Linked DNA regions of Oryzias latipes. The protein of the gene in region 1 interacts with the protein of each later gene in a biochemical or structural test. Links are inferred from orthologs where the notes say so. Each region holds a gene or a part of one and is shown on either strand. Other genes may lie near its edges.

Region 1 (16,065 bases):
AAACACGGTTTTTATTCAACCATGTGCCTTCATATCCTGTTTGACAGCTCTGACAGAAGCACAATGCTACAACATGACAGAAAATGCCCCCGGAGTAAAAATCAGATTTTAATTGCATTTGCAGTTTACATTTGCAATTTTGCTAATGCAAAAACACAATTGCATTTCATTTGAATTAGCAGGGGTGCACTTAGTAGAGGTTGAAGTTAGCTTTGGTATATCAACGTGGCTGGCAGAGAAACCAATCAGACTCCTGTTTGTCCTGGTTCCCAGGTCGACTCAGATTAAAACGTACTCGTGGGACAACGCTCAGGTGCTGCTGGTGGGAAACAAGTGCGACATGGAGGACGAACGGGTGGTGAGTGCAGATAGGGGTCGGCAGCTGTCTGAACACCTTGGTGAGTTCCACAACTTCACATCTCTGATTTATTGCTGTTCGTGCTTAGAGCCTCGTCAATCTGATGCTACTTTTGGTTCAAACTGTTCTAGCAAGAAAACTTTGCTAAATGCTTATTTAATCAAAAGAACTTTACTGTAGATCCAATTCTTTAGAATTCAAACACATATATTTAAAAAGAAAGGCTAAAACCTCAAGGGTTTCTGTGGTGGATTTGTTTGTGAGGGGTCTCCATGTTTTATTTCTGAGCTTGTGAGTGTTTTCTTTATCCCTCAAAATTGCCATCCTGCGTTCACTGGGGTCACAGAAGTGGTAGATTTTAGATTGTTTTTAGGGGGGAAAACTGTAAAATGTTTTTTAAAAAGAATTTCAAACAGCACTGAAAATATGTGGGAGGGACCCCACACAGAGAAACACAAAAGCCAAATGTCTTTGCTTTTTTATAGTGTCCTTACTTAGAGATGCTTGAAATAGAGGACTTCAGTTTTTCCATTTTTGGCATAGTTCAAAGACAGAAAATCCAGAAAAAACATGAAAATGTTTGTGTTAAGTTCATTGTCATGAAATCTGAACATCAATTGTGTCATAAATTGATTAAATAAACTTTTCTTTTTTTAGTAGCTGCTAAAACAAAACTGACTGAATGGTATAAAACTGTCAAAAAACAAATCCTCTTGCTCATTTTTCTACTTTAAATCTGAGATTGAAGATATTGTGTTTCATTCATTTTCAACACGTGGTTGACGTGTTGACAAATGTGTCAGTGCATGACAGCTTGGTCATTTTTAGTAAATGACCTAAACACAAGAAACCAAGTTGTTCACCTTTTGACTAACCCCGTTAGGGGTCGCCACAGCGTCTGGTTTGGCAGAGATTTTTTAACGTTAGATGCCCTTCCTGACATAACCCTGTATTTTCAAGGCACAGGGAGAACCAGGGTTTTAGCTCATTGCACCCCGATTGGAACCCAGATTTCTTGTGTGACAGTCCTACACCCAGCCAGTTAAGCTTTCTAGCCGCTAGGTCTAAATTCAAGAGATCAGGACTTATTGATAAACTGTGATAAACTTGAAATAAGGGAGAACTAAATTATTGTAAATAAATAATCTGACAAATAAACTGACAACTAGAATTTGATATATCCTGAGGGTTAGTTCAAAACAGAAAATAGCTTTGGATAGTAGTCAGATTAAAGCTGGTGTGATTGATAAGAAAACGTAACACCTAATTAAATCAATTGAACACTAACTTGCTAAAAGAATTTGCTCAATGATCTGCCAGTCTCTACAGGAAAAGAGAAGGAATGCCATTTTGACCTGACCGCCTTGCACTTCTCTGTCCTCCAGGTTTCGAGTTCTTTGAGGCCAGTGCAAAGGACAACATCAATGTCAAGCAGACTTTTGAGCGCCTCGTCGACATCATTTGTGAAAAGATGTCTGAGAGTCTGGACGCCGGTGACCCTGCGGTTACAGGGGCCAAACAAGGGCCTCAGCTCACAGAGCAGCCCGCCCCTCCTCACCAGGACTGTGCATGTTAAGACGCATTCATTTTTTCAACCCGTTTCTCTCGTCTTTATTCTTGTCCTTCGTAAGCTGTACCCCAGATCCTCAGGTCCTTATTTCATCCCCCTTTTCTCACCTATGTTGGTTCATGGGTTGATAATAAACAACACAAGCTGAAAGTTACTGAAATGCTCTGACGTCCAAACGTTCCAGCGTTTAAAGTGTCTGCCCCTTCATTCTTTTATGTAATAGGGGAAAAAGGTGTTTTTCTCAAAAGACACGCTTAACCAAAGCCAGAGCGACTTCAATCCAGCCAGAGCATTTCAGACTCTTTGCAGCTGAGGTGCTGATGGTTTTACTGTTCCCCATTGAAGGATTTGACGGCTGACATCCTCTGAGTGCCATTTAAATCCTTCCAACGTTTACACTAGTTTGTTTCATATTGGTTTAGGGAAAGAAAGCCAGCCTGATCTGGTGAATGAAAAGGAAGCTGTGGCATTAGATAAGAGGGAAAATGATCCATCTAAAATGAATTCAAAACCATTGTGCTGTGCGTCATGTAAAGCGTTTTATTTTCTCATCCATCTATAAGGATAACACTGAAAACCACAATCTTAGCTAGCTTTCCCCTTTTAGCATTTTTTAATCTTATGTTTTTGCATTTCTCTTCTAATCATAAATTTTGTGTCATTCATTCTACTTTTCATTTATTTACTAACACTTGGAGGCAAAGAAAGGAACAACCTAACTGGCATAAAAAAGCAAAAACCGAATAGAAACGTATTCAATTATATTTATTTAAAATGTACATATAAATGTTGTGCAATATACATATAAATATATATATATATAAATAAGATACAAACCAAGAATGCGCTTCTTGAAAAAAGTTTTAAAATAAGTTCTTCAAAGGACAGTATCTAAAACGAGACGTCTGTGTTGTGGTGTTTGTTTGGATGTGTGCAGGCAGCTTCACGGGGAAGATTAGAAATGTTGAAATGTCCTTTCTTGCCCGGAAAATTGAATTTGGAAATCCAAATTACAAACTTTACTGTCATAGACTGTTATTTATTCCTGTTATTTTCCAGTTGCTGAATCCACACGGTGGGATTTCCCCTGACTAAAACACAGAATAACATCTTTGTGTGACTTATTTATTGGAGAAGGTTGTTTGAGCAGTTGCAACGTCATCAGAAATGTGTTAAAGTGTCTAATCAAGGCACCACAAATTTGCCCTTGTTGTGGCTTTATTAACAGGTGTAAAAATGAAAGGATATGGGAAAGCCATTATGTACCATACAACAGCTTTATTGAACTAACTAACATCACTAGGTTATTTTTTTATTTATTTTTCATCTTTAATGCAGGTGACAGCTTCTCACTTGTTGCACATTGTGGTATTTTGTTTTTCTCTTAAAACCCCCCCACAAAAGTGAGTAAAGACAGTTTAGGATAGAAACAGAATTTGATAGAGTTAAATAAATCAAAACATATTGAGACCACTGCAGCGATTCGCAACATCAGTTTGATCAAGCTCATAACTAGTATTATCTTCTTTTTCTGGTGCTCAGCTTTGGCAGGATAACTAACACATTAACATACATCAGTGTCTCTGTTTTGAACAAATATGACATCTGAAGAATGGATCTCAGTTCATATTTCTTCATTTGCAACATTCATAGAGGTTAAAACATCCTGCTTTTTCCCTTTAACTCATCAGCAAGCAGGATGAAGCTTTCTCAGAGTCACAGAGCAGCCTCTGCAGGCTCAGTGTGGACCGAAGTTTGTTCACGGCAGAGATCAAAACAGGAGGGGGTTGACCTGGCTGGCATCTTGGGTTGAAGCTGGATAAACAATGCAGTTACATTTCAAAGTCACACAGCTCCCCTAACATGGTACAAAACCAATTTCTGAACTAATTTCAAAGTAATTTCAAGGCAAAAAGATAAACAGAATCAGTTTTGCAAGTTTTATTTATAATCAAAGAGTAATTTTAGAATTACACAACATTTAAACCTAATCTTCTTGGTTTAAGTTCAGTAAAATATTATGATGAAACAGGCCGATTGGTGAAATGGTGGACTTCATAAAAGCTGGAGGATTTGACCCTGTGTATGTTTCTGTTCTTACTGGTTGTGACTGTTTATTTTCCAGTAAAAACGAGTAAACTGCTCTCCTTTCTAATAAGTCTTCCTCTCCATATAATCCTGCGCTGTAAATACTGTATCTTTGAGTTTAAATGTGTGGATTGTGTTGTATCGAATCAGGCTTGCATTAAAATACAGGAAAAAAGAGAAGAGGTGAGGGGAGGGAGGTGGAAAAGATGAAAACTCCAAAATAGCCATGATGTACTGTATCTGCATTCATTTCTAGGCCTGCTTGTGAATGAATGTGTCACTCAGTTACAAAGCAATACCCACTGCAGCAAAGCATACAAAAACAAATGCCATCCAGCTTAATAGAGGTTGCTGACAGTAGATATTTTACAAGCACGCAGAAACATGTATCCTTATTTGGTCTCGTATCACTGCCTCTTCAGATCCTTACAGTTTGGGCCATTGAGATGAGAGGACATACTGTGGATGTTTTTATCTGTAATTTGTGGTAAACAATTAAAAAAAAAGCTAATAAGCACCCAACTGTGGATTTTTTTTTTATTTTTTGAGATTTTATGGGTTCACAAAATAAAAAAAACTGCCTTAACTTTGAAAAAATCTTCAAGACCACCAACATATCATTGAACACAAAGCCTAACATGAAATAGACCAATCTGTATAAAAGTTGTAAACTGTGTGACTTCTGTGCAGCAGCTTCTTGCACCCAGCAGATGATAATTGGAAGTGACAGGCCTGGCATCGAGCAGACAAATCAAAGTGACATTTTACCTTCTGGCTGCAATCTTTCCTCACACTGACTGAAGCAGTATGTTGTACTTTTGACTTCTGCTCCAACAGCTATAATCTGCTCTATTTAGGAAGCACTGCCATTCAATAAGCAGATTATCAAAATAGGATGTATTAATAAATTATACTCTGCATAGGCTTGGTCACGTGCAACCACCTTATTTGAGTTTTCTGATGGCTGTTTTATATGATTATTGACTACAATTTAGCAAAATAAATTATGAAAACTATCCTGTATCGAACTTAATGTGAATTTACAAGCAATTACATGCATGTAAACTAGAAGAATGAAAAGGATTGCCTATCCAGTTGAATACAGACACTAATTATGCAGTAAAATGAGCTTTAAATGACAAAAAAGTATTTGATAGTAGACTAAAACTATTCTGAGGGTTGATTTTATAATGTTCAATTACAATATTTCACTCAATACTCCTGTTATTGCTCAGTTTAGGCGTGTTACCCAGTGGTGTCCTGCTGTTAATATTCTATTCAACCAGCAGAGGGAGCACGACACCATACTGATCAATACACCCACTCCAAAAATTCAGAAATATTATAATTTTTTCTACAAAATGACAGATTGGGGCTAAATTAGCATATTTAATTAGGGCTTTTAATTTTACGATACAATAGTCAAATTCAAGAATTATTGAGCATTTAAACAAGAACAGTTTGTTTCCCCAAAAACATCATGAATCTGGCATTAAGATTACAAATGATGTTTGTACGAGAATTTCTTGGATTACGGAATAAAATGTTTAAATACCGGTATTTCTTTTTTAACCAGTCATTATTCTGCTCTTTAATTAGATTTGTGTTGCAAACGTGACATTAACCAGACACGGTTTTATAGTAGAGCAGCATTTAATTCAGAACACGATGGTGTGTATGAAGCCAAGTCACAGTAGACTTGACCAAGTCAGTGCAACAAACTGGTTACAACTGAATGTTAAAAATGAAAATACACAGACATAAACACAATAAAGTATAAAAAAAATAGTAAAAAGATAAATACACACATGTTAATGTGAAAATGAAAATAAAAACACTGGTAAACCTGTCCCCTGTGACACCAAGCCAAGGGCAACATTCGAGTTGGTCAGCAACATGCAAGCTGTTCCTTACAGAAATGCAATACATACAATAAATGCTGTATATAGATCATCTTAGATATCAAATGTGGGGGATTTGTCTTTCTTGCACCCATCTTTTGGTGCCCATTGAAGTAGATATATTCGTTTGGTCCATGTATGAGACTGCATCCAGTCAGTAAACATTTTTTATAGGAGAAAAAAATGATGATCTTACATTGTTTCAATCCATTTGCTCTCATCTGTAAACAGACATACGAGGTAGAAGATTTCTATAGGGTCGAATATGAGCCTGATCAAATACATAATTGGACTTCACTTAATCTGTTCAATCAGATGGTGAGCATTAATCACCATTTGAATTTGGACTGGATGGAATTGCTACCAAAGCTGACATGGAACCCCGTTTTGAACAGTCCCACGGGGCTACAGAGACCAACACGGACTAAGTCCATCAAGCTTATGTGCTGGTCAGGAGCCTCCGGGGCGTCTGTCTCTTAGTGCACTTGTACTTCGTGGGGGAGCAGCTGGCAGCCGCTGTTGACGTGGCTGAGGACCTTCTGCTTCAGCTGGGCCACTTGCTCCCGCAGCAGGCCGGCCGTCGACGCCAGGTCGGTGTTCTGGCTCTTCAGCGTCTTGACCTTGTCCTCCAGCCTGGAGATCCGCTCCAGCTTGCGCTTCCGACACTTGGAGGCTGCGATTCGGTTCCTGAGTCTTTTCCTCTCCGCTTTGATCCGCTCTTGTGAGTCCATGTCGATGGGAGACAGCGGGGGGCTCTCCCCGAAACTCTGGACGTCGGGGACCGTCTGCGGCTCCTCCTTCAGCGGCTGGACCCGGGAGAGCTCCGGCTGCGACGGGGCTGCCCCCAAATGATGCGGCGGGGGAGGCGGAAAAGGGACGGTGTCCGTGGAGTAGTTGACGGTGGTCCCCAGCGGGCCGCTGCCGCCGTAGCTGTTCAGGTTAGTGTACACCGGCAGGTCGGGTTGGACGCCGGCTGGAGCGATGTTAGCCCCGAGGTCCAGACTGCTGTTCGTCTGCCCGGCTCCGCTCAGCTGGTTCTGCTTGTGTAAGTCTTCCAGCGCCTTCACGAAGCCCTCGGCGAATTCCTGCTCGTCCGTCACCGTCTTCGGGTACAGGAACTGGGAGCTGGTCGGCGTCGTCGTTACCATTCCGTTGGACTGGATGATTAGTCTCTCCAGCTCGGGAGAGGCCAGCTTAAGCAGCCCCAAATCTGTGGAGCTCAGGATGCTGTCAACGTCTCGAATATGCGGTTTTAGGTCGGAATTGTCCGAAAGGCTCAGGTTAATGTCCTTCTTCATCATTTCCGTGGGTAAAACTGTGATTAAAAAAAAAAACCGGGCTGCGCGACACTCCCTCAGAAAAATGCCCGGCCCATAATCTCACTGAAGGGAAAGGCGTTAAAACGATGTAAAAATGTTTTCAATGCTGGCAGCTCCACGGTTGAGTCAGAATGTTCGCTCGCGCACACCGCCTCGAGCTCTTTTAGACTTGAACATTCCATAATGTCACGTCAGAGCACGCGGCGGGATGGGCAGAAATTACGTTTTCTGAATTAAGAAAGGAGCTGAGCAGATATGACGGGAGAGAAGACAGGCGGCTCACTCTGAGCCTTATTTTGAAAACAAAAAGTAGTTATGAAACTGAATCAATTTTCTCCTAATTAACCCGTCTAAATGCTAAGCGTTATAATGAAATCAAATAATCCGGTTACGAACACACACATGTTTTAAATATAATACTGGAAACTGAGTGATCTGAATTATTGCACCGTTTGTCAGGTGTTTTAAAATACACTTTTTTATTTAATTTTTGTAAATTCACTTTAAAAACTTTTTTAAATACTCTGTTTCCTTAGGATTCTGTTGAAATGTGTTTTTAACTTAAACTGTAAACATTGAAATAAATACTATAAGAAAAAAACTAAAAGTAGTACACAACTTCGAATAATTTTTCTGCTTTACGTTTTTCCCCTAAATAAAGCAACAACAAAAATCCACACACACCAAAGTTACAAGCAAATTAGGGAGCCAGTTTTGACAATATTTTGAACAGCCTTTATGGACTGATTCAAGCCGTTCTTTCTACCAATTAACCCTGATTTCACAAAATAACAGAATTAACACACAATTATGACATCCAATTTTAATTAAAGTCTTTGAAAGTTTGGTATGTTCCAATGGTTTAAAATCCAAAGCTTTTTTCTGCTGTTCATCTTTTTAAGAGACGATCTTTGCTCACACCACTATTGCCATGGAGAAAAAGAGGAAAGCACAAACAGTGAGGTGGTGCACTGATGTCATTGTGGGTGTCGATCAGCATATGCCTTCGTTTTCAGCACATCTGAAAGAAAAAACTTAAATAAAAACCATTTGCAAAACACTTAGAACAATGTTCAGTTAAACAATGTTACATTAAAAAAGTATGTTTGTAGTATTTGTTAGAAGATGTTAGTAAGCAAAAAAGCTAAACCCCCTGATGAGTCAGGAGTCTCACTTCTCTTTTGAGACTTTTAATGAATAACACAAGTTTAGGGAAGTTTAATCTGGAACTGATTCACTTTTAACACATCTTTATTTACTTGCGGTTTTGGATTTGATTGAGTCTCACTTTCAATATTTGTCTAATGAGCTAATTTCAGTTGTTCATTTTCCATTTCCACAATTTAGTAAACCAGAAAGGTTTGAGACATAATTTAAATTTGGAGGCAAAAAGCACCATTTAATCATTTTTTTTGTCTTTTCAACTTATTTTATCCAAGTAATAGACTTTGATTCCCAAATTTTAGACAGTAAACTGGAGACATTAGGATATGTTAGAGCTGTGAAGCTTCTCGGCCGTTATATTGTTTTTAACTCTGGGTCCTTCCAACATCTCAATGCATTGTTGTTTGTAATTCCCAACACGGTCAGAGGCAGCCACTCTAAGAATTTTTCTGTCATACCCTTGGATAATGTGTGCAGAATGTCAGCAACTAAGGCATGCAAGCTGTCAAGAACTGGTGATGTAGGAGATGCTGGAGACCAGGCTTGGTGGTGGAAACTTAAACGTTTCTTCTTCTTGTGTAGTCTTATGGTGGACAGCAACCTTAAACATTTAAGGAATAAACTAGAACATGACAAAAACCCATGCAGAAAAAAAAAGGTGATAAAGCAGATACGCTGACGATGAAGAGCTGAAAACCAGACACTAGGCTGGGGACACTTAACAAATGAAGACAGCTGTGGATGATTAGTAACATGAACCAGGGGGGTATTCCAGAAAGCATGTTTAAACTACCCTGACTTTAACCCTGAACTCTAGGCTGAAATCCGCCTGAACTTGCTTACTCTGGGTATGTCGGTTCCAAAAGACCGGATATGAGTTAGCGTAATTACGCTCAACTTGGTAACCCTGGGTTAATGCACGAGCATGGCAAGTAGATAAAGACATTCTCAATGGATCGACGATTTCCGGAGTCACCATGGAAACGCGTGAAGAACAAAAGCGAGTGCTATACTTCAGTGAGACGGAGTCAGAAATTTCAACGACAGCATGTGAAGATTATACGCCCATCAAAAAAGTAATACGGCTGCATCATCAGCAAAATAACCATCCAATCCTGAACTCACACACACACACACACACCCATGTCTCTCTCTCTCTCTTTCTCCTGTCTCTCATTATGTGCAATATATTATTTGCACTATATCTCTGCTATCATGGGCATAGCAGTGCAATACCTACCTCACTGTGGAAAGTAAAACTTTTCAGCTAAATTTTTTACTGTACATTTTTTTGGACTTAGTAAATTGTACATTTTTTGTGAAATAATTTTCCTTTTGCATTTCTTCACTGTACAGTGATCAGCTCTCATTTCACTGTATGCGCGTGTGATGCGAATTGTACATGTGTATAGTGACAATAAAGGCATTCTATTCTGTTTTAAAAGAAAGAGTTTCTGCTTGGAGAAAAAGAAGAGACAGAGTAAACGCACGAGTTTCTATCTCATTTCTATATTCATTGTGACGCATATATATATATAAATTATCCAACTTTGCCAACTTAAATGAATTACTTCTATTGGTAACAAGTAATTGAGTAAAATTTATTCAACCTAATTTCTTACGTCTATCCAACTCAATAATTGTTTATACAACTCAAATTTACATATCTATCTAACTAAATGTCATATTACTCCAATTCAATTAAATGTTCTTCCATATTAATTTATTGTACTTCTTGAACTCTCATATGTCTAAGTTTGAGCCTGTAGATATTCTCGTTTTTATAACAATAAAATGAAAGAAACACAATAGACATGTAGTATGAAAGCATATGTAATTTCTCCAACTTTAACTTCACAATATTATGTGGTAGGGGTGCTAAATAACTCATCATCCTCTCCTTCCCTCTCACTCATGGTGCAGTAATAATTAAACATAACAGGACAAATAACTTGGCAAAACACAGTAAAACAGCTAAACAACTAAACACATTTGGTCAAAAACCCACACTTAAACCCAAATCCGTCCAGACAGCCAAAGGGAATGGCATCCCACAATTCCTTGCGGTGCCAATCTAACAGCAGCACCAAACTTACAACTACTTAATTGAATTCATTTGAATGAAAGTAAAATAACTGTCTGATGACTATGTGTTATTTTTAAACTGACTTAACTAAAAAAAAAAAGATTTATCTTAACTGAAGCAAATATTTAAGTTAGTTTATGTAAAAAAAAGTTTATATTTCCAACATCCATACATGGTCTTATCACCCTCTCACGGTGGAAAAAGTATATCTGAGCTTCTACATCCACTAAATCATCTTCAAATGGAAACGCCATGCTCCTTCACCTCTCTAAAAACAGACTAACCTTCAATTAAACCTGCTTCAAACCAGGTCATGTTCAGAGCATTAGTTGTTATGGCAACTTGACATACCCTGAAACATACCTACATTTCTGGAACTGAAAGCTGAGGTTATCCGCTTCCTTAGCCTCAAATTTACCGAGGTAACTAGCATAACCTGCTTTCTGGAATAGCCCCAGGAGTGACAAGACATATTCAAAACAATAATTAAAACACCGTACTGGAGTGCACAATCCTCACACAAGCACTATTTATATATATATATATATATATATATATATATATATATATATATATATATATATATATATATATATATATATATATATATATAAAATGTATTTATTGATTGGAAAGGAAGTAAAACAAAGACGTATACTTTGTGAACATTTGCAGCAGCTAAGTTACATTTACAGGCTTTTTCCAACCTCATTTTTTTGGTATCATCCTGACTTACAACAATTTGAATGAAGAAATAATCAGAAATGCAACTTTAACCTTCGTTTTCTTTATATATGTCCTTCATCATGAGAAAAATGCCACAATAACATACACCGAAAAACACAATTTCCATATGAGTGGGTCTTTAAAACGTGTGATGTTTTTATCTTAAGTTTTTATTATTTTCACCCATCTTTATGTCAGTGTTTGTCTTTACTGTTATGAAGCCCTTTGGTTAGTTAAAAAAAAAAACGACACACTTGATTCTTTACGATTTCATGTTTATTATACAACTACCGGCATGAAGCCCATCGAGATGACTATTGTTGTAATGTAATGTTGGGCTATATAAATACGATTGATTGATTGATTGATTGATTGATTGATTGATTGATTGATTGATTGATTGATCTGAATGGAGGCATGGATGTAAATTGACAAGTCAAATTATTATGAAAAGATAAACGGACACAGCTTTAGTTCAGCTCTAAACCTGCCCTCTCTATATTTAAAATCTTCCTCAAAGAACTCCTCCTCGTCGTCGTTCTGCAGTGCTTCAACGGCCAGTAAAGGGTTACACAGAGGAGAGCTCGTGCGTCACAGGTCCAGGTCCGTCGTATCCATCGCTGCGAAAGCTTTGCGCGGGCGGATCACATGACAGCCGCTTCGACGTCACATCTTTTTTTTACACGGCGGAAATGGAAGTGGTTGGTGTGTGTTTGTGTGCATGTGCGTGTGCGTGTGCGTGTGTGCGTAGCAGATATACATGTTTAAAGGCTGCCTGAGAGTGGCGGTTCTGTCAGCAGGCGGTGGCTGGAAAGCATGCGCTCATGTCTTCTTCAGCTTTACCACAGAATCTGATTTTCTTTCCCTTTGATTTGAACCATTTGAGCCAAAACAATGTGGAATACCCAAGAAGAGAATCTGAATAAATGAAGCCCAATTCTACACTTTGATTCATGCCTATAGGCCTTTATTTGGGGTTTAAAAATATATATTTATTGTCTTACTATATATTTTAACTTTTGGGTCTTCTTTTGACCATTTATAATATTGATAAACTAATTTGATATTATAACTATTTTTGTTGAGTTCTTCAACATTTTTTCAATCTGTAAAAGTGGACTAAATTTAAAGGCCCACTCCAAAGAAAATGGTGCTTTTGAAATGTTCTTGCAGGGAGGTATGATGAAAATTCAAATTCAAATTAAAATGACATACCTGAGTATTTCTTTATGCAAATCACAGTGAATCAAGTGCAGACGAAAAAATGTCTTTTGAAAAAGAGCCTAGTTACCTACAAACTACAATCAGTAGGCCACAAGCTCCCTGCTCCGCTCCATGCTGATGCATCCACCTGCAAACAAATAGATCCATGTATGCCTTCTCTGCCTTCTTTTCCGACCTTTGAGCTAGCATCTAGCTCAAAACCTAGGATAGCTCCAATATTGACTGCCTTTTTTTTTTTTGCACTGCTAATGTTAGGTCGAGGTTGTGAGGGGTTGTAAACTAGCGGGAGAGCAGAAACTGCAGAAACTGTCTTAGAAAACAACAGGTTTTTTTTTTGGCTAAAAATGGCATAATCATAATTAAAAGACCTCTGGGGACTATTTTACAATAGATGAAAAGATAATATGAGTGGGACTTTAAAGACTTTAAATTCTTTGTAATGGTTTTTAACATAAATAAAGAAAATGTAAAATATTTGTGTGATTGGATTGTTCCTTTCTAAAGGTTTTCTATTGTACATGACTGGAAAAATTAATTCAGTTTCAACGAAACACATCTTGATTTTGTGTTTTTCTACAGTATTTTGTGATGTACACATGAAACAGAAACATCAGTTTGACAGTAGACTGCTGAATTCCCCAAGGAAAAGTAAAGAATTGGAGTACAGGTCTTTTGGAAGAACTCTGCATGAGGACAAGGTATCTGCTGGAACTTGAACTACATCTGAAGGACATTGTAGTTGTTTGCCATAAACATGCATCATGTGTGTGCTTCAGCCTTAAATCAGGATGATAAAAACCAAAGTAATGGCGAGCTATTTAAAAGTTCCTGCAAAATGACATTTTTTTTTTGTTTGTTTCTATTGATTTTATTGTGAAGCTTTGGTGCCATGTCAATAAGGAAGATCTACAATTCATCACTTCTGGGGTTGTTACATCACTCCTTCAAAACCGTCACTCCCTACAAATAACTGAGTTCCCCACCATTTCAGGCTCTGGAATTTATTCCTCTACGGTCCAACGTTATCCCACCAGCATGACAGACGTCATCAACCCAGAGCCTAACCGCCAAAGACTATGGACTTCTTTAATGCATATCTTTTTTGTCACAAATATATCTCTAATTTATTCACAATCTTAAGAACTCTTTTTATTGAAATGTCAGCTTTGAGTTCAGCATGGGTTACTGCTGAAGGGTGTGTATGGTGTACACAGGTGTTCACTTTGTAAAGCTTAGGTCCTGTTCAACAATGCTGTAGTGTTTGAATGGCAGGTATGTGAAAGTGTGAGGACATCTACTTGAAGCAAAGCGGGATTCTGCAACCCTTGCACATCCACTCCTTTTAGATTCCAGAATTCTCCATAGCAGTTCTTAGGCCACTGCCAATCTCACGCCGCCTTTTGGTTGGAATGCAGATGAAGAAACAGAAGCAGCTCTTACAGTCAAATTCAAATTTCAATAGTTTAACTGTAGTGGTGTAGCTGTCTAAGACAGAGACCACAAGTGAAACAAAAAGATTCACACATGGTTGACTAGTGGTATTAGATCTCTCTTGTGCTTTTTATCTTATTTTTGGTGCTTTTATTCTGACAACTCAATGACTAATATCATTCCTCAATATTTGAAGTCTTAAGCCTCTTCTCATACATTCAAATCTGATTTGGAAAAAGGGAATCAGCCCTTTTAGTCCAAGTTAACATTCAGCTCAGATACAAATGCATGAAGTAACAAAACAGATTCACATGGTCCTAATGTATTCATGTGAGTCCCACGAAGAGTCTCCATTGAACCTGATGACGTAGTTTCAAAGTGTGGGTGAAGTTCCACACTGAGGGAGGATGTGAAACCCTTCATGCTCGACAGACAGGTGTATGAGTGCGTGCAGTGATGGTTTGTATAAAGTATACCCCTGCACACACAAGCACACTCACAATGTCGACCACAAACCTCAAACGTAAACCTTTTCATCACTATGCATTAGCTCATGTTGAAAACATACAGTTTTGCCTTAATAATGTTTTCCGAGTGTAATGTTTACCATCACAGTGATGTGCGTTCTTTAAAAGAATTGAAAAGCTTACTTTCCGAACACCTTCCATGAAATTACCACTCTGCTTTAAAAAAAAGTAGATAATCTGTATATGCAGTGGATTTTATGTACTTATGTTATCTTTTAACAATAACATCTAAGGCAACAAATTCTATCTTATGCTGTTTGCAATCTGTCAACATTTTATATCATTCAATAATTGCCACAGCTGTACAGCATCCACATTCTATAAAGGTATTATTCATTTTTGAAAAATGTCTTTTTAGAAGCAAACTACTGACTACTTTATTCTACACTAAACTGAATTATGAGAATCATCTTTTGAATGACAGATTGAGTTTTCCATTCATTTTGCACTTCTAACCTGAAACTGAAAAATGTAAATGACATTACACAGATGTTTCTCCCTCCCCTTCTGTCTAGTTTTTTCCCTCTTTATGTGTATTTGTGCATAGTTTTTAAGTCTTACTTTTCAATATCAACTTCCAAATGAATGCTCCCATGGGCACTTTTGTGGAATGGTTTGTTTAGACCTTTAGTTCTGAACTCATTTGTGGTACAAAGCAAATCAGATGACAGCTGCAAACTCAGAGTAAGGTTCATCCTAAGAAATATTATTAGAACTTTTTTCATCTAGCTCTTAGATTATAATTCTAAATATTCCAAATTCTTAACAGGTATCTTGGTGGACTAAAAGTATTATTTTATCAATCCACAAATAACCCAAAAACTGTAGGAACATGTGAATGCAAAACTGAGTAGCACAATTTTAGGCAGCAAACAGCCAAAAACTGTTATTAAAAATGTATTTGGGAATGCAAAAAATAAATAGATAAAGACAAGGAAAAAAATCTATATAAATTGACCTCATTGACACAACTTGGAGACGATATCAGAAAAAAATATCTGTGACACCTGCCCAGTACACATGCTGTCTACTTTATATACCACACCTGGGTCAATTCAATCCTGGCCAAATCAAATTGAGACAAATGTGTGAACCATATTTAAGAGAAAGAATATAATAATGTATAATCATTTTTTACATTTTTGTCTCAGGTGCCGAAAGGTGGAAGCCAAAAAATATATTTGCATTCACATTTTTTCAAAGAATATTTGGCAGAGATGCTCACAGGTCGCTCTTTGCAAATCCAAGTCCTGTCTGAAGTCCCTGCATTTATGTTCAAGTCTAGTCTCCAGTCTTCAACTGACATTTCAAGTTAAAAGCCTAAAATGTTACCATCACAAATTGTCATTAAATACCCTTAAGCAACTCATGGGAACACAATAACTGGCAGTTCTGCTTTACCAAAGAAAGTGTCGTGTACGTCCAACAGCATTGTTGTGGAGCTAAAATCTAAGAATAATCGAATGAATATCGTACACAGCTGGGACTTTAGTGCTGCCTATGTCTGAGACTCAAATCCAAAGTCTAAAGTCGAAGTACCATTAGAAGTTTTTAAAGGATGGCAACACTAAAAGGTTTTTTTTAAGGGACATGTCTTATACAACGACCTGTAGAGCAAAACTGTAGCTTCAACATGCAAAATATTTGTTCCTACATTAAAAAGACAAATCC
Region 2 (16,229 bases), on another chromosome or scaffold:
AAGTAAAAATATTGCAACAATCAGCAAGAAAAAAAAATGTTGACTATAATCTAGTAAAAATAGGTGGTCATTAGTCATGTAAGAAAGTTTGGAAACTGTAGTTTCAGTTTTTCTTTTTTTTTTCACTTGTCCTGTCCACCAGCTGAGCAAACAGATGAGAGCGGCCTCATATTTTACTGTTACACTAAGGGGTTATGAATATTCTGACACACAAGGTGTGTATTTATATAAGCCCCTTTTGTAAATTAGGCTGAACTTTATTTAATTATATTTGTAATAATTTTTTGTTGGACCAGACGAGAAGAACACCTGTGCTCTACTGAGTGTTTATGTTCTTCTAAAATGGATGGTGGAATGTGAAAAGAAGGAGGGAGGGTGTCCAGTCATTCCCACACCAAAACCCCCGCTGCAGCCGCAGCAGCAGCGGCAGCCAGAACCCCCCAACACCTGCACGGTAGCAGATAGAGAACAACCGCCCCCAGGGTGATCACATCCGCCACCCAGGCCAGGGCCAGCAGGACCGCCACAGGGGCCCGCAGAGCCAGAGAGCAGGGAGGCATTGGGGTACAGAAAGTGCAGCTCCGGCTCAACCGGGAGAGCAGCCCCCCCGCCGCGCTGGGAGGGCCCAAGGAGGGGCCCTGCCCAGAAGAATGCCCACAACCCCAGAAAACCACCTCATCACCACCCAGGAGTTCTGGGCATCCCCCCGCCCCAACCCCGGGTACGAGCCAGGACCCCCCAATTGAGACCCACCCCGAGTTCCAAGCAGCCACCCACCCAGTCCAGGAAGGAGCAAGGAAGGGCCAGCCGCCCCCGCCCAGGAGGAGGACACCCAGGGGAAGAGGGTGTCCACAAGAGGTGTTGTAAACATGGCCCAACCAGGCTCGCCCAAAGTTGGAAATTTGGCGAGGCCCAGCACCCGGGGTCAAGGACCAGAACCCACACCACAGGGACACGGACACCCCCGGCTCAGGTGTGATGCGATCCCCGGCTCTTGGCCTTTCCAGAAAGCTCAGGGATCCCTCTCTCTACGTGGAGAGAGGGCCGCCGGGCCTAGTCAGCCAGCACCCAGGGAACACGGCCGACGTTGCCAAGGGCCCAGTATCCCCTACCAGGGATGGGGTAGGAGAAAGATGGTCCGAGGTCCCACCTTCCTTACGAAATGCATGTGTGTGTGAAGGTGTGTGTGTGCATGTATGTGTGTGTGTGTTGGAATTTATATGTTGAAGGGTGAAGGGTGTGTGTACTAAGGGGGTGCAGTTAAAATTGGCGGGTAGGGCACTGAGGGGAGACCTCCTGATTACTCACAGTGATGTCCCATCACCCTCCCCACCAAGGGGCCCTAAATGTCTGGGGTGCAGTTAAAATTGGCGGGTAGGGTGCTAGGAGGACATCTGCTGCTTGCTGGCAGTGATGCCCAAGCACCAAGTACCAAGGGCCCTACATGTCTAAGGTGCAAATAAAACCCAGAGAGGGGGGGCCCAATCCATACGGCAACCATGGGAGGGGGACCACTGCCAAGTAGCTCCTCCCCCCCAAGGTGCATCGCAGGCTGAACCCCCCCATCACCCTAAAAAGAGATTATAAGAGGAAGAGGGTAAGTCGTCTTTAAACTACGTCAGCTTCTGTGGTCCGGATGACAGCCCTTCAGTCAGCTGATCCGCTCCAGCTGTCCCACCTCTCAGCTGATCAAGTCGCTGAAAGAGAGAAGAGAGAAACAAACAGGAAGTAAGTAAGTAAGGCCTTAACTTTAAGCCTCTGGTAAATATCATAGACATTAGTTATGTAAACCCCTCATGGACTGTCGCTGCCTTTCTGGAGGTGGCGTCTCGGCGCGCCGCCATCTTGGAAAGGTATAAGTGCCCCCGCAGTGCCATTGTTTCCATGAGGAATGTGTATTTAGTCAAAAAAAAAGTTTTATTATGCTTTCTAACATAATCTGACATAAGATACAGCTTGTTAATAAAAAAGTAAAATGTTTAAGAAGTAAAACAAGGATGACGATTATTTGTAAATTTTTTATTTTTTTTATTTCTCTCCTTTTTCTGCAGTGCTGGGGAGCCAAAAACCATTGGGGGAAAAACTGAGACATGTATTATGTAATATTAATAAAAAGAATGAAAAAACTTTCAATTGTAATACAAAAGAGAAATGACCTTTCAATTTTTCAAAAGATGACTAAAACGTGTTGATAACAGTAACAGATCTAACTACAGGCAAACATAGTTGTAAGAAAATATTTTTTTACAGATCTTGTCACAAAAATCTGATATTTGGTAAGCAATTTAATAAAATAAACAAAACAAATATTTTGTATTATAGATTTTCAAAACATGGCCTAATTATAAATAAAAAATAGATCAGTAGAATAACTTTGGAAGTCCTCCAAGTGACTACGTGGAAACGTGTTCCCAGTGGTATTTTAATTATGATTATGCTGTTTTTAAAGGAAATTTTTAAAAACTGGTCATTTTCTAATTATTATATCCCAACCATCCTATCGAATTAATCTGTCTGAGAAAAGTTGCTAATCAAATGGATTCCACTTATTTCATTATAAAATCTTTTCAAAATGAAAAAAATGGTTATAATCAATATCAGAAAATACCATTTGGATTGAGGGACGGTAGGTTTATTTTATGATAACGTAAAAACGACAAAGTACCATCACAGTGGACAAAATACATGAGATGTCAGCCAAAAAGCTGACATCAAGCTAGCATTACGGCAGGCGACAGTAGCTGCAGTTACACATGCAAAATGTATTTGATCGGATCAACGATTGGATTAGAATTGGACTTTGTACATGGGTCCAGAAAAACTTTATCTGATTATAACAAACGTTTACATACGCCACACTTTCGATTGGAAAAAGTCATTTTGACTTGTGCAGAACTTTCTAAAATACCAGAAACAGCTGCAGTAGAAGAAAAAACAAATAATGCAGCAGCATGGAACGCGATGGTCCTCTAAACGTGATTTTATTATTGTTAGGACTATTATTAAGTGCCTGTTCGGTCATAATTTTTTTTAATCCGTGTGGCCAGTGCTTTTTCTTTGGCAGCACAGAGCTGGAAGAAGGGTTAGGGTGAGGCTAATACTACGAGCTAACAACACTTAGCCATAGAGGCAGTTTAAATTCATGCGGTCATTGCCGCGATGTGCACTTTGGCTGAACGTAAATACGTTGCAATAATGTCAGCCTTACTTTAGTCTGGACACGATTGGAAACACAAATTCACATGATTGTTAACACTGCATTTCTGCTTTGAAAAGCTGCCTCTGTTAGCTCACACCGTCCCAAACCGGTCCTCTGCTCAGAGACACCGTTTTACCGGGAGACACAGTTCTCCTGAGTCCAGCAGCTCACTCACGCAGAGCAGCCGGACAAACTGTGGTCCGAAGCCTTCTCCGGAGCGCATGCCATAACAAAGCACCTTCCCCAGCTCACAAACACAAAGCTACTAGTCCGGCTGCTCTGCTCTGAGACATGGTTTGCAGCCGGCCGCTCCTGTTTGCACTCCAAGTCCAAAGACTCCTTCAGAGCACCACACCGTCTACGCATGACCTACACCAGTAGTGACCCACGATCGGAATAAACTGTTTTACATGCACCACCATCTGATCAACAATCGGCATAACCCACCTATCTCGATCGGAAAGAAGTTTTGATCCGAATGTTAACATGACATATTTTTATCCCAATTAGGTGTTTATTCCGATTACGTTTGTTCATGTAAACAGAGCTACGAATTGGTCCAGGTTGGCCTGAGTCAATGTTTCTATGGCAACTACATTTTCTAGTCAGGAGTAAACTCCTTTGAAGTCCACACCCCAGTCTGGCAATCAAATGTGGTGTGGGCCAGTGGGCACTACATGGTATTATTGAGGCATCTGATTGGTCAGTTATAACTTGGAAAAAAAGAAAAAATATCATAAAAAATATGGATTGGCAAGAAAATGTTAAAACAAAAGTATTCGAACAAGAATAGCTATTTCGACAAGTAGAATGAGTAGCAGCTCGTCATTTCTCAATAGAAGTCTGTGGGATTTTAGCTTCTTGGAGACAGTAGCTACTTCCTGTTTGGAATGCTAGGGGAGAGGGATCAATCAAAGTGAGCTCCAGAACCACCGGTCATTTGGGGTACTGCAACGTTTTGCCACGTGCTGGACGGGTTCACCCTCACCCACCCACCCCGTCTGGAAAAGTTACTGCTGTGTCAGAATCCGCTTAAATCCTAGAAGTTCACATGCAGCCTTCCTCAGAGGGATGGCATCATCATCAGCTCAGACAATTACCGGAAAGCTCGAATCACTCAGATCAGTGCAAAGGACCCTACTGGGCTGCCGTAAGACTTAAAGCTATAAAGCCACATTAACGTGTCCGTAATCATGCTGTGCAGCAGCGGGCGCACGAGAAGAAACAGAAGGAAGGTGGGGGGCGGGGTAGTTACTGAACACGTAGTGACTGAGATGGAGGAGGAAGAGCTGCAGCTTCCCGGAAAGGATGATGCAACACAGGAAATAAACACTATGTATGCTGAATCTGAAGACTCTTTCTCCAGTTTTATCATGACCCAACAAAGCCTCACAGCGGGTATGTGATGATGTTCTCTTCTTTGTAATTCTGCTTTATTAGGAATACATTCTAATTTGTTATATGAGGGTAAATTATGCTTTCTTTTTCTTTTGTTTTGTCTGTGCAGAGTTTGAATGGAAGAAGCCCAGTCCTCCTCCTCCTCTTCTGCCCATCTCTGCTTCCCTGCAGAAGCAGATTACGTCACCCTCTTGGTTCCGGGAAATTAAACCCCTGATGCTCCTGGTGGCTTTATTGGGAAGCAAGCATGGACCCAGGAATTATCAGCATAAATGCTGCGAACGCCTTCTAGAAGTCTGGATGGAAATTTGAAAATAATTTTTTCTTACTACAGTTTTTCTCAGTCGCTTTAGTACAATTCTCAGATCAGAATTGAAGTTTGCAAATACGTGTGTGCATTTCTCAAAACAATTTGTACAAACAGCAAAACACAATGGTTTTCTTGCAAAAGCCTGTAACTTGCTCAAAATCTTTAGTTCATCTCTCCAAACTAAGTCTTTATGTCATTGAACATGTCAGTGCCATCAGAATGTCAAGTCCTTGTGTCATTGTCTACGAACAAGACAGTCAAATGACTTAGTCATGTTGTCAATATAACTGTGTACTTTAGAGGGAGGTTCTGATGGAAACTATGGCTAAAGTTTGGATGACAATTATTGTAAAATGGAAGTTACACCTTTTTTGTTTGATTGCAAGAGACTGGACAAGATTCACATTTACACTTTTATTGTTCTTATTGTAATTTGTTGACAGACCATGTCATACCAACATAGAAAAAACCCACTGCAAACAGTAACACAAAGGGAAAAAAAGATAGGACAATATTCTGTCCAACAGTACAGGAAGTGCAGTAGGAATTGGTGTGGTCTTCCTACACCTCTTGTCGTTCCTGTTTGTTAGGACACAAATTCTCATCCACATCACAGCGAATATCCTCTCCAGCAATGCAGCGAAATATGTTTGTCACATTATGACAACTCGGTCAACCATTTTGCAGTTAATGACGATGAACTAATGACTAGGTGTTTTGAGGAGTAAGACTATTGCACAGTGAACTATATAATACATTTTGATCAACATGACATAAACAATTGATAATGTAGCAAAGAGCAGAGAATTGTACAGAATCATTTGCATGGATGTACCAAAGCAATTGCAACTTGTTCAAAGAAGTGAGAAACTGCTTATATGATGTGCACAAGTGACAACATGATGTGAAGATTGAACAAATAGTTTGGGGAATTTCATTCTGATCTGAGAATTGTACTAAAGCGACTGAGAAAAACTGTAAAGCAGTGAGCAAACATGCAATCGCACCCTCCAACTCCCACTGAAGATTTGCTGTGGCTTCAAAAGACTTTAAGAAAGTTAAACAAAAAGAACTACATCACCTGACCACGTGGAAATTCTAGCAGAAAGGTGTTTCACTTTCCCTTTTCTGATTCTCAGAATGAGACTCCTGCAGTTGTGTCACAGTGAAACCAGAGGGGAGCAGCTGGCCTGCTGTGAACTCCTGCTCACTCGTCCTTTTTTCACATCTGTTTTAGGCACAAGATTCGAGACATACAATTGCTGGTTTTTCTTTAAAAACAGCAATTGTTCTGAAATCAAGTCAAACTTCTGTGTTCTGCTGTTTTGAGCTTCCCACATAAACGACTCCGACACCAGAACCTGCAAAAGTTTTTAGTGCAGGTGGGGAGCTGTTGATTTCGACTGGTGATATTGTCGAGCAGTAGAAGGAAAACTTCCAAGAACTTCCAAGATCTCCTCGATCCTGCTGACACACCTCCTCTTGAGGAAGCAGGGGCTGAGGACTGGGGTGGGGCTGTCCATCACCCAGGCTGAAGTCATTGAGGTAGTCAATGAGCACCTCGGTGACAAGACCCCGGGAGTGGATGAAGTCCGCCCCGAGTACCTTAAGTCTCTGGATGCTGTGGGAGGGTCTTGGCTGACACGTCTCTGTAGCATCGCGTGACAGTCGGGAACTGTACCACTGGACTGGCAGACAGGGGTGGTGGTTCAAGAAGGGAGACCGGAGGGGGTGTTCCGACTACCAGGGAATCACACTAGTGTCACTAGTGACAGTGTCACTTTAATTAATTGTAAAGGTGATTTGTTTTTGTTTTTTTGGTTTTGTTCAGGAAGAAGTTGCCATTTTGTATGACTTACAATGTTAAGTAAAGTCCAGTGGAGTTTAGAAACAAAGGATTTGTATGTTTGTGTCAGTCTGGGGGGGCTTGAAAATATTCTAATCTTCAGAAAGGGGGGCCCTGCAGAAAAAGTTTGGGAACCACTGCACTAGACAGTGAACCTTTTTTCTTCAATGATATGTTATCTTCACTGGTGTCCATGGATTACATGAAATCTTTCCACCTTTATCCACCTTTGTCATGGTAGGGAGAACACGTCAATGGAAGGGGGGGGGGGGGGGGGAATCTAAGATAGCACAAGGGTTATTCTCTCCATTCCTGCAGAAATGCCCCAGCTCCGTCTACATATGGCTCCACCTTTGTGCATGTTTGGATGCACATTTCTGTGAGAGAAGCTCTTCTCAGTGATGAAGACTAACTAAACAGCAGACAGCTGTCGTCTCACTGATGATCACCTGCAGTCCATCCTGAGAATCTCCACAACACAGAACCTCACAGCAAACACAAACCAACTGTGTGACACAAAACGATGCCAGACGTTCAGCTCTGATCAAATGACACAGGAGTAAAGAAAACAGAATGATATGATTTGTAAACGCTGAATTTGTATAATTTGGGCAGGATATAATCTTATGGAGAATAAAATCTTTTGGGATATTTACAATTTGAACTTAATTTTTGTATAAAATGACATGTTTAATGAAATTTGAATTTTTTTCTTTAATATTTACTTTATTTCTATCTTGTTTAATTTTGAGAGTAGAGCAAAATAAAGTTATTTAGAGTTTAAGTTGATTTATTCTGGAACAACGTTTTAGATTTATGTTTTAAAAAGTTGTAAAAGTTTACATTTTTAAATTTTAGTTTACAACAGTAGTGACCCATTTACAAACGGGGGGGGGGGGTGCAGGAGGAAAACAGATCTCTAAAGAGAAAAAAAAGGAAAGTGATCAAAAAGAATGTTTTAAAAGTTAAAAGCCATTTAATTTTATGTATTTACCTGAATCTATATCTATCTATCTATCTATCTATCTATCTATCTATCTATCTATCTATCTATCTATCTATCTATCTATCTATCTATCTATCTATCTATCTATCTATCTATCTATCTATCTATCTATCTATCTATCTATCTATCTATCTATCTCAGGTGCTTTGGGGGGAGAAGGGGACCCCCGTTTTGGTCCTTGGGTGGCATCATCACTGGATCAGAGTCTATAAATAAGATGATGTCATCCCCCTCCCCACCCCCACCCCTCCTACCCTCGCAGTCTAGTAGGATTCCTAGGTACTGCGTCACTAAGCCCCGCCCCTGGAGTTCCTATAAGTGGGTGATGCAACGGGAGAGACGAGAAGCGCAACTCAGTACTGCGGAACCGAACGGAGCAGTCCACGCCGGAACCAGAGCCGGAACCAGAACTTTCAAAGGTGCGTTCCTGTCTTGTGCTGGAGGCGGGGAAGGGGGGCGCTTTTCCGCCGGTCCGGTCCGGTCCGGTCCGGCCGTGGCTCTAAACAGAAAGCAAACTGTTTGTAGGTGCTTCTCGTTGAAAGACTTAGTTTCTGTTCATGGAAGTGTTTCTATTTGAATCCTCCGCTTTAACCTTCGTTTTCTGCTTACCAGTTTACCTTCAGTCAGTAAATAACACTCAAAAACGCCTTAGGGAGGGAATCGAACCGGTGTGATGATCAGAAGTTCTTCTTCCGTTGTAGCCGCGGATGTTCCTCTGAAGGAGCAGAACCTCCTTCACCTGCTGTTACACAACAAATGTGTTGACTCTTTATCTTCATGATGTCATTATTACTCAGCAGAATCTGTCCTGGAAGTCTCTGGTTAGCAGTCAGAGATCTTTAGGGTTCATGTGGGCGTTTCTGCCTGAATGTAGTCAGTTAGTTTATGCTACTGGAAACCTGTGTGGAAAAACATTGATACTACACAAATACTAGATAAAAAAACACCAAGCCACATATAAGTGCAACATTAGCTAAAAAAAAACTAAAAAAGTTCCAGAGCAAAGTATTTCTTGTAAAAAGCAGAGGGCGTGTTCAGGAAGGGGCTAAAGAAAGTCCAAAACCAGAAAGACAAATGGTGGGAGGGGGGACGCTGAGCCTGACTGTGACTGAAAGTCTGCCGTGTCTCCAGAATGATGCTGCAGCACCTGGGACCGTCATTGGCTGACATCAGCTGCTCAGCCCTGGTCCCCTGCCTGTCCCCCCCAGGAGAACTCACTCTAGAAGACTTCACCAACTTCACCCCCATAGTGAAGGAGGAGCTCCGTCAGGTCATCCAGAACAAGCGACTGTCCTGCGGGCTCAGTGCAGACGCCAGTTCTGACAGCGCCAGCTCTGCCTCGGACCAGGCCCCGCCCACCCACGAGTCAGGGGTCAAGAGAGAGGTGAGGCAGGTACTCCCCCCACGCCAGTCTGTTGCTGAGTGGATTCTTTATTCAGAACTCTGTGTGGGTTTCAGCTGACGCTAGAGGAGCACGACAGGAAGAAGAGGAGGCGAGAGAGGAATAAGATTGCTGCTGCAAAATGCCGCAGCAAGAAGAAGGAGAAGACTGAAGGTCTGCAGAAGGTAAACTCTGTTTTCACCAGGCTGTAACCAGGAGCTCTTTGGAGGACATGCATGAGACCAAGTGTCTTACTACCATCACAGTTTACTCATTTAGCAGATATGTAGCTTCTGTGTGCTTGAAACGGAAGCCTGAAGGTTGCCTCTGTGAACCTTCATCATTTCTGATAATGCAGATTATTCTGCTTATACTATGGTCACTTCCCAAAGAAATATTTAGTACTTTATTCTTGTTTTTTTTTTTAGGTTTTCACAAAAATCAGACTAAGTTATATGCAGTACGTTGTCATGGTAATGGCCATAGAGACTGCAGCGGCAAAAGAAAGTGATTCATATGCTGATGGGTTGAATAAAGCATCAGTTCAGTGTGAAAGTTCACGTCTTACTGCTTCTTTTTGTCCAGATGAGGAAGTTAAAGTTTGTTTCAAAGAAACTAACTGTAAAGTCTAAATAGTTCAGTTCCTCCTCTTGTCGTATTTCTTCCTTCTAGATCCACTTCTCTCTCGTTCTCTTTTGCTGCAGTCTCTAAAAAGATCAAATTAACCAAACAGGTGAAAGGAAACTATAAAATCACTCATGTTTTCTACTGTCTTACTGTTGTAATAATCTGGAATAAGGCATGACAAACTATGTTTGTTTATGTTTTAATGGTGATAATCGGAATACCGACTTGTGTTTAGGCCACTGCAGTGATAAGGAACATTTGGGGGGTGTGACTGGAACTTCTTTTTTAGGTGTGGGATATCACTTTGAAATATACACACTGCAACCAATCAGAATTAAGTATTCACCTGGACAATGGTATAGAGACTTAACAGATTCTCTGAGGTGGAATTAGTCTTTCTAGAAAAAAGATCTGAATTTGAGGCATTTTACAAATGGAAATACAATTTCATGAGGAAAAGAAGATAAAAGTTTGGTAAGAATTAAAGTTGTCAAAAAACATTTATCCTCAAATGAAAAGCGTGTCCCGGATCTTGGTTTCTCTTCAGCAGCTTCTTTTGGTTTCAGACCTGGAACTTTTTTAACCAAAGCAGCTTTCTGATCCCTCCACCTGATGTTCCAAAAGACTGAGCCCCGTTTGTTCTGCGTCTGCTCCTGTTAGGAGTCAGAGAAGCTGGAAAGCATCAACGCTGACCTGAAGGCTCAGATCGAGGAGCTCAAGCAGCAGAAGCAGCAGCTGGTCTACATGCTGAACCTGCACCGACCCACCTGCATCGTCCGGGCCCAGGACGGACAAACCCCAGAGGACGAGAGGAACCTCTTCCTCCAGCACATCAAGGAGAGCAACTTCCAGCTTCACAGCCTCACCTCCACCACAGAGGGCTTGCTGGGGGGGGGCCCGCTAAGCCTTGACCACATTTGCTGTCCCGCTGATCTATGACTGAGCAGAGGCTGCCCCCTACCAACATCAGAGACTAGCTGAGTGTTAGCCTGACCTGAACAGGCCTGACCCAGAAAGGACTGCGGGCCACACTTGGCTCACACAAAGCTGCAAAAACCTGACTATGCACTGAGGGTTGTGAGGGAGGGGGACATCTGTCATGCATTTTTTTTGACATTACACATATCAAAGCTTTCCTGATGGTTATGTTGGTGTGTTGCACTGAAGTCAGATTTCAACAAAGCACTTTTTCTGTTGGCTCAGCCCGGCCTGCACAGCAGCAGCACCAAAGTGAGAACAATTACTGAATGACTGCTGTATGTTCCGATTTTCCCAAACAACCTGGCTCTGTCCGATGTCAGGAGAAAGATCCAACTTGCTGCTAACCTCCACTTAGGACGTCACTTATTATTTCAAGTTTTTGTTGTTGATTTAGTGACCCACCACAGACCAAGTCCTGGTTATCAGCCCTGAACCAGCTGGGAACTGTGAATCTAAACAGCATCTGCCATGCCGCTGTTTAGATTGCCTTTGACAGTCATTTTTGTCAAAATGTTCATTTTCTTTCCTCATTCTCTCTAAATCTGAGCGACTTGAGAGCAGTGTTTTCAGAATCACATACCTCCCCTGATTTATTTATCTGCTTTAACCCTTTCACTGGTTGGTGGAAGTGCTCAGTTACCATCAAGCTCTCGATTCGAACGATTTATTTTTCGCTTTACCAAAATGTCTTTCTTCTAATAGCCAGTGCTTCAAACGGACTAAGGTAGAACTTGTCTTTCTGAAAAGTACTAATATGTACATTCAATCAAACTGAAAAGCATTGTTTGCTTGCTTTCTGGAATATAATCATTGGCTTTCAGTTATATCATTATATATTATTTGTTTTTGTTTTCAAACTCAGTTTTGCTCTGAACTTACTGCTGTCTCTCTAAAAGTCAGTGGTTTCATTTTGAGTTGCAGTCTTTGTTTTTTTCTTGACATAAAGGAAATATTCCAATGATTGCAGAAAAATGACTTTTGAAATATTTTGATAAAAGAAAGTTTCCGACCTACCGACACTTGCATTTTTTTCTGAGCTACTGTCTCTCTCAGGTTGCAGAATATCAAGGGTTTGATGGTAATGAGAGCTAAACTTTCTTTTTTGAGATGAGTAAACAATTGTTTGTGGTTTCTTAGTTGTCAAATATCAAAAGATGCAGGCGTCTGTGTATGTGTTGTTGTGTGTCCACTGCTCGTCTGTGTTCTTCCTCTATTGCTATCTGTCAAGCTTTGTTTTTGATACTTACATTAAAAACACCATTAGCCAATGAAACCTGCTGTCCTTCATTACTTTATCTCACTTTCATTCAGCTACTGAAACCAGAAAATAGTCACTGTGCATCATGACTGCTGCTGTTTATGGTTATGGGAAATGTGAGCTCTGGACAGGACTATGTCAGACTCAGAGTACAACTGTGATCTAGCACATCAGTCTGGGTGGATAGGTCTGAACAGGCAATAGGCAATACTGGTGGAGACTCTGGTTGCTCAGGAGTTCTCATACTGGGCCTGAACAGCTGCTAGTGCTCCAAGGCCTATGTCAAGCCGTCACATCTTTAACCTTTGTGTTATCCTAGGCATTTTAACATTGGGAGTTGGGTCATCTAGACCCACTAGACAGTGCTCTGAACCTTTTTTCTTCAACGATTTGTGATCTTCACTGGTGTCCATGGATTACATAAAATCTTTCCACCTTTATCCACCTTTGTCATGGTAGGGAGAACACGTCAATGGAAGGGTGGGGTCATCTAAGATAGCACAAGGGTTAAGAGTGAAAATGTAACATTTCACATCAACTGAGATTTCATATTAATCCTCGTCTGACGTCCATCAGGCGACTGATCGTCCAGGTCTGGTGTTCGTCGATGACACGAGGAGGCGGAGGCGGGGGAGCGGTCTGATGGAGACTACTCGTGGAGAGGGGCTTGATCTGGGACACATGGACACGCATTGTCCGTGGCAAACGCAGCTGGACCGCCACAGGATTGACCACCTTCACAACCTCGAACGGACCGATGAACCGAGGCGACACAGCCAGTGCGGCGGTCTCCACGGCAGAGGGCAGCTTCTTTAGGGCTATGAAATGGGCTGCTTTGGAGAACCGATCCACCACCGTCATGACCACGGCTCTCACGGGTGTGAGCCTCCCTTAATAGTCCTCTCTAGTTGCCAGGTGACAGCACCCAAAACATGGTCAGCTGGGATCACGGTAGTGGGCTCCCGCTCCTCTACAACCGGTTCCTGCTGCTGAGAGAGGGCATCAGGCTTAACGTTCTTGGAACCAGGACGGTATGACACCAGAAAATCAAAACGGGTTAAAAACATGGACCACCGAGCCTGCCTAAGATTCAGCTGCTTCGTGGTCCGGATGTATGAAAGATTTTTGTGATCCGTCCAGACCACAAACGGCTGAATCGCCCCTTTTAGCCAGTGGCGCCATTCCACCAGAGCCAGCTTAATGGCTAGTAGCTCCTTGTCCCCTACGTCGTACCCCGCCTCCGTTGGGGTAAGACGCCGAGAAAAGAAGGCGCAGGGGTGGATTTTACCGTCGGTAGCAGAGTGCTGGGACAAAACAGCCCCTACCCCTGTGTCGGAGGCGTCTAATTCGACTATGAACTGACCGGAGGGGTCGGGTTGGATCAAAACCGGCGCAGTGGAAAACAATGACTTTAAACGTAGAAAAGCAGCATCAGCAGCATCTGTCCACTGAAAAGGTACGGGGAGGGAGCTAAGACCCGTCAGAGGTGAGGCGACAGAACTGTAATTACGAATGAATCTAGGAGGAAATTTGTAGGAAATTTGCAAACCCCAAAAAACGTTGAAGCTGCTTCCGGTTAGTGGGAACGGGCCACTCCACCACTGTGCTCACCTTGGCCGGATCGGATCGCACCTCCCCCTCGGCAGTGACAAACCCCAAAAAAGAAACACAAGAGGAGAGGAAATCACACTTCTCGGCCTTGACATACAGTTTATTCTCTAACAACCGCTGGAGGACCAGCCGAACATGCCCCCGATGTTCGTCCGGGTTCAGCGAAAAAATAAGGATGTCGTCTAGATAAACAAACACAAAATGATGAAGAAAAACGCGGAGCACATCATTTATCATGCCCTGGAACACAGCAGGGGAGTTAGACAGGCCAAAAGGCATCACCAAATACTCGTAGTGACCCAGCGGGGTGTTGAATGCGGTCTTCCACTCATCACCCTGCCTGATCCGCACCAGGTGGTAGGCATTCCGCAAGTCCAACTTGGTGAAAATCCTAGCCTCCTGCAGGGATTCGAACGCCGAGTTCATCCGGGAAAGAGGAAAATGATTTTTAACCGTAATGCCGTTCAGCCCCCTATAGTCAATACATGGCCGCAAGGAGCCGTCCTTCTTACCCACAAAGAAAAACCCAGCTCCCATGTGGGAAGAGGAGGGACCCGCCTTCAAAGAATCAGTCACATACTGTTCCATGGCCTCCCTCTCAGGCCTCGACAGATTGTACAGTCAGCCCTTAGGCAGAGGGGCGCCCGCCCGCAGTTCAATGGCACAGTCATAGGGCCTGTGCGGCGGCAAGGAGAGAGCCTGGAATTTAGCAAACGAAAGCGTCAATAAGCGCCGAGGGATTCCATGCGCTCTCGGCCGCGAGAGTCCGGAAGTCAATAGCGTAATCCGCCACTCGGCGCCTCCCCTGGCGCAGCCGCATCAGTGCCCGGGCAGCCTCCCTACCCGGCCTCGTATGTTGAAATACCTGGGTGAAAGCCTCCAGGAAGGCTGGGAGCGAAGCGCAGGAGGCGGACCCGCGCTGCCACTCCGCCGTGGCCCAAGCGGCGGCTCTGTCGGTAAGATGTGAAACGATGAACGCCACCTTGGGGTGATCCGTGGGGTAGGCGGCCGCTTGTAGCTCGAAGCGCATTTCGCACTGCGTGATGAACGCCCGACAGTCCCCAGACGCACCGGAGAACCTCTCCAGTCGGGCCAGCGGAACCGTGGGAGCGAAGGACGTCTGGCTATCTGGGCGGATGCGGAGGAGGGCGGCTGCACCGGCGGCGGCTGCTGGAGCTGTTGCGCCAGCTGATCGATGCTGCTCCTGACGGTTGGCCATCTCCAGCATACCCCTGCGTAAGTAGTTCATCTGCTCCTCCTGCTGGCAGAGCACTCTCTCCTGGTTGGAGGACTCTGAACGCGAACTGTCTATGTCTGCTGGGTCCATGGTGACCCATGGCGCAGACGCAGGGACTCGTAGTCAAATCGTAGGTTTTAATAACACTCACGATCGTAACAATAATCCAAAATGAACCCGTGACAGGGACAGGATCAGTGTAGGCTAAATACCCTCCAGGTGATTCAGCAACAGGTGAGACCAATAAGGTAAAGACAGAACGAACGAGCAGAGACAAAAAACCGGAAGTGTCAAAAAGAAAAAACCCAACAACCGCCCTGGCCCAGAACCTGACAGATAGAGGGAGGGCATTCCAGAGTCTGGGTTATTGCCTGGAACGACTGGTCACCTCTGGTTTTATACCTGCTCTTAAAAATCTTTAAATGATTTTGATCCGAGGATCTAACCAGGAAAGTCCCATTGAGATTAAAAACCTCTTTTCCAATGGATTCCTGGCCAAGAGGCAGCACATTTCAATACAAAAAATACATAAAAACAAACATTATTAAAACCACATACATCAGAAAAAGCAGTTGCACATTATTGTTTCAGCCTCTGATGCTTTGAGCTTGTCCTTAAAAACATTTAAAGATACCAGTTCAGTCAGTTTCCAGTCTTTCTGCAGCATATTCCAAGCAAAAGTAGCAGAGTTCTCCCAGCTCTGTGTGGGCAAATGGAACAGAAAGCAACAACTGGACTTTAGATCTTAAGGAGTAAGATTCCACACTTCTCCTTTTAATTAAAGAACAAATGTAGGGAGGCAGTAATCCAAGCAAGGCCTTGTAAATAAAAGTGTACCAATGTCCCTGCCTCCTAGTGGCCAGAGAAGGCCATTGTACTCTTGAATATACGTCACAATGATGCGCGTCATTGATCTACAGTTGGTAATGAACCTCAGAGAAGCATTATTGTCCAGTTTGTCCAGAACCGGCTAGAGAGGATGGTCTGGGTTGTCCATGATGGATGAGATCTTGTTCAGTGACCTCCTCTCCATCACTGCTTCAAATGATTCCAGTTTGCAGCCAATGACAGAACCCGCCTTCCTGATCAGCTTCTTCAGTCTGTTGGTGTCACTGACTGCAATGCTGCTTCCCAAGCAGACCACAGAGGAGAAGAAGGTGCTGGCTACCACCGACTGGAAGAAGATCTCCAGCATCTTGCTGCAGGCCTTTCTGTGCACAGCAGTACTGTGGCTCCTCCAGCTCAGTCTGTTGTCTGTTGTTGATAGTCACTCCTAGGTATTTGTCCTCCTCCACCACTTCCACATCCTTGCCCAGGTTGCAGAGATGCTGCAAGACTGGCCTCTTCCTTCTGAAGTCGATCACCATCTCCCCGG

The links.
Region 2: the proteins of jund (region 1) and atf3 form a complex in vitro, tested with the Homo sapiens proteins (2 studies listed by BioGRID and IntAct, with this or other methods). The link is inferred for Oryzias latipes from reciprocal best matches to the Homo sapiens genes JUND and ATF3.

The regions. Positions count from the first base shown.
Region 1 is NC_019862.2:13,814,671-13,830,735, forward strand, and holds jund (transcription factor jun-D), read right to left. Parts: upstream 7,465-16,065; 5' UTR 7,219-7,464; coding exon 6,394-7,218; 3' UTR 5,393-6,393; downstream 1-5,392. Other genes in the region: rab3a (ras-related protein Rab-3A), read left to right, coding at 274-398, 1,744-1,934. UniProt on the Homo sapiens protein: Transcription factor binding AP-1 sites.
Region 2 is NC_019882.2:23,403,781-23,420,009, reverse strand, and holds atf3 (cyclic AMP-dependent transcription factor ATF-3), read left to right. Parts: upstream 1-8,053; 5' UTR 8,054-8,084; coding exon 8,085-8,178; intron 8,179-8,890; exon of another isoform or gene 8,891-8,891; coding exon of another isoform or gene 8,892-8,967; coding exon 8,968-9,143; intron 9,144-9,217; coding exon 9,218-9,325; intron 9,326-10,427; coding exon 10,428-10,706; 3' UTR 10,707-12,021; downstream 12,022-16,229.